Regions from separate parts of the Mus musculus genome. Here region 1 is reported to be linked to region 2. The links are microRNA targets in miRTarBase. Many come from high-throughput screens and were not tested one by one. Region 2 holds a microRNA gene; the other region holds the end of a gene's coding sequence.

Region 1 (4,336 bases), not on the chromosome of region 2:
TTGTTGGGACAGAGAAGTAAGATTTAACATCATCATATTTATTACGTTCTGGAACAATACACATTCACATCCTTTTGAGTACAGTACATTTGGCACAATAATGTTTACAATGAAATCACACTGATAGATGGCAAGGGATTAAAATCACATCCGGAAAGGAAAAGAAAGCTTCACAATACAAAATAAAACCCCTAAAATTGAATACATTTCTATTAACCAGAATTACTTTGCACATAATTTAAAAAGAGGTAATTTTTTTAAGCCTTCTTTTATTTTTAAAGCAAGAATGAATGGTGTTTTCACCTTTGGAGGAAAAAAAATGTTTCTACTTCAAGAAGTCCATAATGAGAGGCAGGGAGGAATTACTATCCTTCATGTAGTATTTTTTGGCTTTTTCCCCCCCACTTTTTTCCTTTAAGATAAAGAAAGTGAGAGTTGGAAAAATATAGACCTGGCAGATCCCCTGGTGCCAGTGTGGCCATTCCCCAGATACCCTGGTGCCAGCTTGGCCATCCCCACCACTGCTGTTTTTGTGATGCTGGGACCCATGTACAAGGCTTCACACCAGCCAGGCAAGAGTTCTGCCACCAAGCCACATTCCCTGTGGCTAAGTTCTTGCTGACAGGACTCAGTATACATCCAAAGAACACACTCGTGTGTAGGTCTCCACTAGATTCAAAGCGTTGGCTGGAAGCCTCCTAGCCAGCAGGGCTATGGGCACCAAAAGGGTATCAGGGGCCTGACTTCTTAGAGTTGCTGGTGGAATGTGTTGTTTGACTTCCCAGCAACAGTGCCAACTGGCCATGAGGAAGGGTGTAGCCTTCACTGTAACATTAACACTACCAAACCCTGGGGGAAAAACACTTGATATTGGCCTTGGCTGTCCAATGTTCACAATGGTAAAGAAAGCAGAAGGAAGGGAGGGAGGGAGGGAGGAAGAGGGAGAGGGAGAGGGAAAGAGAAAGAGAGAGAGAGAGAAAGAGAGATTATATCTGAGTATAATGGGATTATTATGTTTTTTCTAAACATTGAGATGATACCACCATGAAGATGTTTCTGTGCTTGTTTTCCACTCCAAAAGATAGTCTTCCCCCAGTATGTCAAGTTACTGAAGATAAATTAAATTAATCTAATGTTCTTCATCACTTCCCTGGTATGCCAAACATACAGATTGATACAGCATAGCATTTAATATTTGCAATCATCATAAGAACAGATCACAGTTACACCTGAGTTTTTCTTAAAAAAAAAAAGCAAAACAAAGAGGAAAACTGAAGGTCGTCATTAGAGACAAAGGCTGTGACCAGCCAGATGCAAATAGGGACACATTTAGTATGGGCTCAAAATAGTCACTGTCCAAGCTTGGAAACCACTATCGAGAACATTCTTTCCCGTCTGCCATCTCTCTCAGGGCATGACACTACACAGGAGAACCGAGCGTGACTTTAACAGAGTTCACTATGTGCTTACACTTTTAACCCAAAAGGAAATAAACAATATGAAGGACCCCAGCCCTCCCTGGAAAGAAACATACCTCTCTCTCAGCAACTTGAACCAATAGGTGATAAGGAGATTGCACCTGGACATTATTATAGTTATTCTTTCATAGACTAAAGTTCTATAATATGCCTGAACATGCAGCAGTTGATACCTCTATAGTCAATGATTTAACTCCACAGGCCTTGCAGCGAACACTATATACAAAAAAAATCTCAAATGTACAAAAGGCAAAAAGCTTCGTTAGTGTCAGTTTGCCACTCACAGGTATATCTACTTAGGGGTGGTTGGGAAATCCACGTGCAATGGTTGGAATGGATTCCACTCCCTGCTAAGTCAGTTCAATAAAATAGGTAATCAAATGACCTTCAGGGAACATATACACAAAGCCACAGGGAACCCTTAGGAATCAAAACTGTAACACTGTCAGCATAGCTACAGGAGGTAATATCAGTCCACGTGAGTTACCATCGCATGTCACCAAAACTCTGGCTACATCCCAGCACCTCGACGGCCCTCAGATCAGTTGCTCCTTAGTCTCCTGAGACCTTCTGCCTGACCCCGGCTGTGTTTCGTTCCCTGCATTCCCAAAACAGATACTTCAGAGTTTATCCTACATAGCGAACGTTTCAAACCACAACAGAGTGGTACGGCCATCTTGTAGAAGCACAGAGAAAATAAGGGTTTATGCTGGGAACATGGGACCAAGACTGGAGAGAGAATTTGGGAATTAAGTTTTTCTGGAACCCTGGGATCTTGGCTGTTGCTCTGGTGGTCTTTGTGCTCAGGGAAAATTCTCATGATGAGAAGCCAGAGTTTTCTTTGCTCTCTTTGCATAGACCTCATGTGTCACTAAAGCATCAATAACAAACGTCGGATGACTGGATTCTCACCGTGTATTAGCCCTTTAATATCTACCCGTGTTCACGTTGGGATGTCTATCTTTTGGCCAATTAGAAAGTGAACGTAGTAATAGTTTTCTTTCTTTCTTTCTTTCTTTCTTTCTTTCTTTCTTTCTTTCTTTCTTTCTTTCTTTCTTTCTTTCTTCCTTCCTTTCTCTCTTCCTTTCTTTCTGCTTTTTTTTTTTGTAATGTTTAGAGTTCAAAATCAAAATGATTTCTTCCATGAGATACAAACGCATACAACTTTGGCATGCTCAAAAAAAGCTAAAACCAAAGCAAGCAGGAATGTGCGATTCCAGAGCACACGGCCACAGCTGGACCACCTGAGCAACTCAGGCTCCTTCCATCAAGGGCAAGCCTTGGGGCACCCGCCCTCCCGTGGAAGAAACTCTGCTCTCTTCTCTTAGGTAGCTGGGCAGGGATGGCAGGCTGGAGACGAGGAGGAATGGGAGGAGGGAGAAATCAGGAGTCCACGTCCAGTGGCAGAGCCAGAGTCTTCGAGTTGTTTTTTTTTTTTTTTCTTTGTAGTAAAAGAACTGAAGCTGCTTCTGGCTTGCGGTTGGATGGATACATCAAACCCAACACTGCGCACAGCTACCCACAGGTAGCTGATGCAATTCAAATCTGTGATCTTGGTGAGTCTAGACCAAGAGTGCCTTCTGATCACTGGGAGGGTGGGGAGGGACGTGGCCTGGGGTGGGGGAATGCAATAAATAAGAGAGTGGACATGGGACTGGGGCTCTGGGGAGGGGGAGGAGGAGGAGGAGTTGAGACCTTCGGAGCCTCTGCAGCTTGGGAGTATCTCAACACCGTCCTTGCAGCATGAGCTCCCTCCATCCGAAGCAGCCTCTCAGGGCATCAGGTCTTCACCAAAGTAGGAGAAGCCTTTGAATTCTTCCTGGTTGATCTGCTTAATGATTGCTTCATCCACAAGTGTAAGTATTGGCTCTTCCCGCGTAAAGTCTTGGTCAAAGTTATTGACATCTCTTTTGGTTTTCTGTGGAGAGAAAAGAGATGGCACTGAGTTGAGGCCTGACTTCCCTCTTGAGCCCCGCCCCCTCCCACTCAGAGACTGGGTGTCGAGGTGACCAGACTCTCAAGCCTCTAACTACTGGGAACAGATACGGGCTGTTCCAATGGGGTAACAATGGATGGCCCCGGGACCCAGATGTGAAAAGGAGGAGAGCAAGATGAGAGTCAATGTGAGAAGGAAGAGGGTGCGTGAGTATGATGGAAAAGCAGGGAAGTGGGGTTCCCACAGGCTGAGTGTGCGCACATGTGCACGTGTGTGCAAGTGTGTGCATGTATGTGTATGTGTGTGTGTGAATTTGTGTGTGTGTTTGTGTGTGAACCTGTGTGTGCATGAGCCTGTGTGTGTGATATGCATATGCGTATGTGCATGCACATGTGTATGTGTGTGCGTGAGCATGTGTGCATGTATGAGTGTTAATTGTGTGAGTCTGTGTGTATATGAGCCTTTGTGTGCACGTATGTGTATATGCATTCACATGTGTGTGTGTGTGTGTGTGTGTGAATGCATGTGTGCGTGTGTGTGTATGTGTGTGTGTGCGTGTGTGTGTGTAATGGGATGCATAGCTTCCATCTCATATCCCCTTGGTAGCATCTGCCATAGCTATCAGTCTTCATGAAGACAGTCCTTGTTGTGCCCAGGAGTCAAACTTAAACCCATCTGCTCCAAGTCCCCAGTGCTTTTGTTTCCCATAGGAAACAGACGTGATAGTCCTGCCACATCTGCTTCACACGGCCTCTCTCTGTGTAAAGATGGGCTATGGACAGGACCCAGTGATGCCTTCTCCCATCCGCCCTCACCAGCATCTCACTTTATGGCCCCGTGGCTTGCCCACTATCCTAATGTTGACTCAACACATGAACTTTCTGGGATATTTTCATACTTTTGTCTAGACCAGTGCTCCTCA
Region 2 (4,172 bases):
CAGAATAAACAAAGCCAAGGGCACAGGCATTACCAATCTGCAAGCACTAAACGTGACCATCTGTGAGCCCCGCCGTCTCTGGGCCATCCACCATGCAGCAAGTCTTCCTAAGAATGGATTGAGGAGCAAATGTTAGGAGAATTGGCTACACACCTTGTTTTTCCCTCTAGCCAAGTGAACAACTGTCCCTGAATTGGCTGAGGTCAATAGCCCTTCCTCAATAAGATCAATATTCCCTTATAGGACTCAGCATCAAGAAAGCTAACCATAGATTTGGGCAGGGGTTGGGTGGGTGGGGGAGGGGTGCTGAATAGATACTTCAGGAGAAAATTGTTCTTTTGGAAGAACTCTAAGCTCAGAATAGCCTATTCCCAAAGTCTGAGGCAGGGGGATTAACGTGCATTCAATTCTGGGGACCTCACTAGGGTAGCCTGGGTGCTGAGAGTCTGGAACAAAGAAGCCTGTGACCTTACGAGCATGTCCTGTTGTTTCTGGTCCATCATTTCTTCCTGGGCTTTGGGCTTCCCTCTGACATAGATAGGCCATTTAGTATTCACTTTTAGTAGCTGATAGCACTTCTCTCTGGCAAAGAGAGGAAGCAGGGGTGAGAGCTGAAGCATCCTGACCTCAGAAATGCCCTAAAGATGGCGTGCATGTGCTATAGGGTATCAGATATCCCTAGCACCTGGATTTACCTGGGCCAAATATACTCTTACAGACCTCAGGCCAATCCTGATAGGGCTCTTGTATGAAGCTGGCATCCATCTTGAACTGATTCCATCCAGGATTGGTCCCCACCAAGGGAAGAGTCATCCAGGCGGCAGGAGCTGGGCTTCCTGTCCGCCACCGGCATCATCCCTGAAAGGGAGACGCCCAAGAACAGCATCTTCCCTTACAGCAGGGATACAGGCCAACCTCCTTCTTCCAGAATCCCAAACAGCTGGGTTCATCTTACCTTTTGTGTGTGATCTCCACCAGCACAAAAAGAAAAGGAATCAAGTCTCTTCCAGAGCCGAACAGCAGGACGGGAAGCCCCATCGGGGTAGTGTCTGCACCTCAGTGGTGTCCACAGGAGGAAGGGGATGCCAGGGACAGGACCTCAGTGAGAACAAAGGAACAGGGTCAAGTTAGCTTGTCTTTCACAAGCCTGAATTCCGGGGGGTGTTTTTGAATGGATGTAACCCTGAAAACCAGTCTGTCCCCAGGGGAGTTGTGACTACTTCTCAACCATCTCATGGCTTCTCCCCACTGCCTAGCCATCCAGAAAGGGTTTGGCCCACATGCTCTGGCTGGGGAAGGCTATAGCCCTGGCATCAGCTCTCCTTTCAAGCGCACCCTGGCACTGAAAACTGGTAGAAGAAACGAAGGGTGTCCGTGAAAGCACAGCAAGCTCATCGCAAGCAGGACCAAGCTTCCTCGGGGTTGGTCTTCTCCATCAGGAATATCCAAGGAGCATCTCGAAGGAGCTGCAGGGCTCATCCAAGGCTCACACAAGGCAGGCAGTCTCATATCGCTTGTGCAGGGGGCCCTTCAAAAAAGCAGAGTTTGATAGTCAAAAGGAAGCTAACTGTGTCTCGTTCACAATAAGCAAACAGAACATGAATGACCTCAAATATTCTCAGAGATCTCTGACAGGAAAACCGGGGCCTCTTGTCTACTGTCCTCTCTCCTTCCAGAAGATTCTTCCAATGACAAATTGAATTCCTAGACTCTGAGAGGTGAATTCCCATAGTCTGTAAGAAAGCACATGAGCTGACAGCAACCACTCACTGCTACACATTGGTCCTAGGGCTAAAATCTGGTCTGACGGAAAAACTCATTCCCACAAGAGCTTCCTAAGGCAGGTCAATTTAGAAACAAAATGGAAGTCTATCTGGTCCTCCCTGAGAGGTAAGCTGGATGGCAAGAAGCCAGCAGCTGGCCGAATATCATGGAAGGGCAATGGCACCATGGGCATTACCTCTCTCGATAACGTCGAGGGTTGCTGGTAGATACGACAGATAGGACTCCTCCTTCCCCAGAAGCTGTGGTTCCAGAACTGTGCTCCTTACAATTGACTGGAAATGGAGAGTTACAGAGTCAGATGGTCTCAGTCACCAATAACCTGGTGCTGACAAGTCCTGCTGTTGGCTGACATAGGCAGCCCCTCCTTGAAGTAGCTCTTATATCTGGGAAGCCCATAGAGGCATGCTTTGATTTGAAAGAATAATCAATAATCAATAATGGTGTTTGTACAGCAGGTGGCCTTTCACAACTGACCACAGTTTGATCATCAAAAGGTAGCATATTGGCTCAATGCTCACTCATGATGGATAATGCGGGGTGGATGGAGGAGATGGAGCACACACACTACAAGGAACATGCAACATCACCTCCAGCCCCCAGTGGCTACATGTGTTGTCCACGGACCGGCAGCATTAGCATCACTTGAGAGCTTGCTAAAAATGCAGAATCTTGGCCCCTCAATCAGACTCTGCTTTTTAACAAGATCCCTAGGTGACGAATATCTTAGCAGCGTTGAGCAGTTTGAGAGGCCCTACACTAACCAACAATTTGTACAAGCATGCATGCAGGCACACACACACACACACACACACACACACACACACACACACACACACCAGATTATGGAATGAGCTGAAATGGTATGCTATTGACCAGGTATGTCTAAGAAAAAGTCAGCCCAAAGGAAGCCATAGGAACAGATAGAGAGTGACTTAAGGCAGCGGCGGCGGCAGGAAGTATCCTTATTAACACCTGTATTAACCACAGGAAGTCTATGCTCAGAATGGATGCTGAGGAGAGTGGGTGCTGGACCTAGAAGACCCTGGCCAAGTTCTGTCTACCTAAAGAGATGCTTGACCCAGTACCTTCTCAAGGAGTTCCTCTGAACTAAGACTTAACAGCAACAACAGACAGGTGAGTTATTCTCAGTGTTCTCCAGACCAAGCACAAAGAAGCAAGCCACCAAAGCTGTTGCCACCTCAAAGCTGTCACTGTGAGAGTACATGGGGGGGGGGGTGCCTTCTGAGGTTACTCTGCCTCAATAAATTCTCCCTCTCCTGCAGCAGGTACCAATGTCCATTAGCTGAAGTCACCACTGTGCTCTAGGACCTTCGGAAGCAAATCCAGATATGGGGCAAACAATGGTCGTCCCAATTAATCTCCATAAATATGGCGAGCACACTATTGATAGCCACCCTGCAAATGTCAGAGAACCACCGCACCGAGAAAAACCGCAGGACCTCCTCTCACGATCCAGACCAGACAGCTCGCCGGCCTCTGTCATTCAAGCACATGCTTGTGGAACCAGTCACACTCTTGAGCAAGGGGCCGGGGCCTGACCCCAGTGACTATCTGTGAGATTGGCTGCCCATCCAAAAAAAAAAAGAACGATTTGCCAAGTCATGAAAACTGTGCTATCTCACCATGACCAAGCCACGTAGGAACCCCTGGACTCTTCAAGCAAGATCCTGACTTGGGATCAGAGTGTAGCTCTTACACATCAGTTCTGTGCTCTCTTGCCTTGTGCCCAGGTAAGGCTAACCCATGCATCATGCACCAGGCACCTCTTTAAACAACCGTCTCGTCATCCCGGAAGTCCACCAGGGCAGTATTTGATACTCAAAAAGAAATTATCCTTGTATGATTCATCCAAAAGAGCCAACACACCAAGGATAATTTCTCCTCAAGTATGAAACAGTAGCACAGCAGGAATACCAGCATCCATAGGCCTCTTGGGAGTGATCACCACTCCTCACACGTGGCTGCACCCAATACATACATGCACCATGCATGCAGTACTACTGATGGCCATTCTAAGCACCAGGGAGGTGAGAGGCTATAGAAATGACTCCCCAGGACTCAGCATGACAACCTCACGTTAGCCTCTTCTAAGGGTAATGGTGGCTGGGGTCAAGAAGCCAGGCAGTGTCCATCTTAAGTGGAGCAAGCATTGTGGGTGGCCCTGCTGACCCCCGGCATGGGGTCTTCTGTTCTAGAAGCTGCTACAGAAATGATGTCACTGCCGAGTCACAAGCACCACCTTGTAAGTCCAGCACAAACTCTAAGCTCCAACACCCACTCACATGACTGACAGAGAATGTCTGTCTCAACATGGGCTCCCAAATCCAAGGAGAGGTTTGTATATCACCATCATAGCTGCCAGCAGT

What was found. Region 2 holds the annotated microRNA mmu-miR-544-3p (AUUCUGCAUUUUUAGCAAGCUC, at 2,432-2,453, opposite strand). A microRNA usually pairs through its seed, bases 2 to 8, with sites in the 3' UTR of a target mRNA and lowers its output. Matches are read on the target gene's strand: a 7mer-m8 pairs with bases 2 to 8, a 7mer-A1 pairs with bases 2 to 7 and ends in A, and an 8mer does both.
Region 1: miRTarBase lists Prkce as a target of mmu-miR-544-3p. Seed matches in the 3' UTR shown: 7mer-A1 at 2,567-2,573.

The regions. Positions count from the first base shown.
Region 1 is chr17:86,653,601-86,657,936 of GRCm38, reverse strand. Prkce (protein kinase C, epsilon) reads right to left here. Exons shown (of 15, transcript NM_011104.3): 15 at 18-3,396. The coding sequence ends at 3,250. Among named protein-coding and RNA genes, the nearest start is that of Gm52297, 14 kb to the left of the region's middle.
Region 2 is chr12:109,727,652-109,731,823 of GRCm38, reverse strand. It overlaps Mir544 (microRNA 544), which reads right to left and starts at 2,499; the gene lies at 2,422-2,499. It overlaps Mir539 (microRNA 539), which reads right to left and starts at 3,695; the gene lies at 3,622-3,695.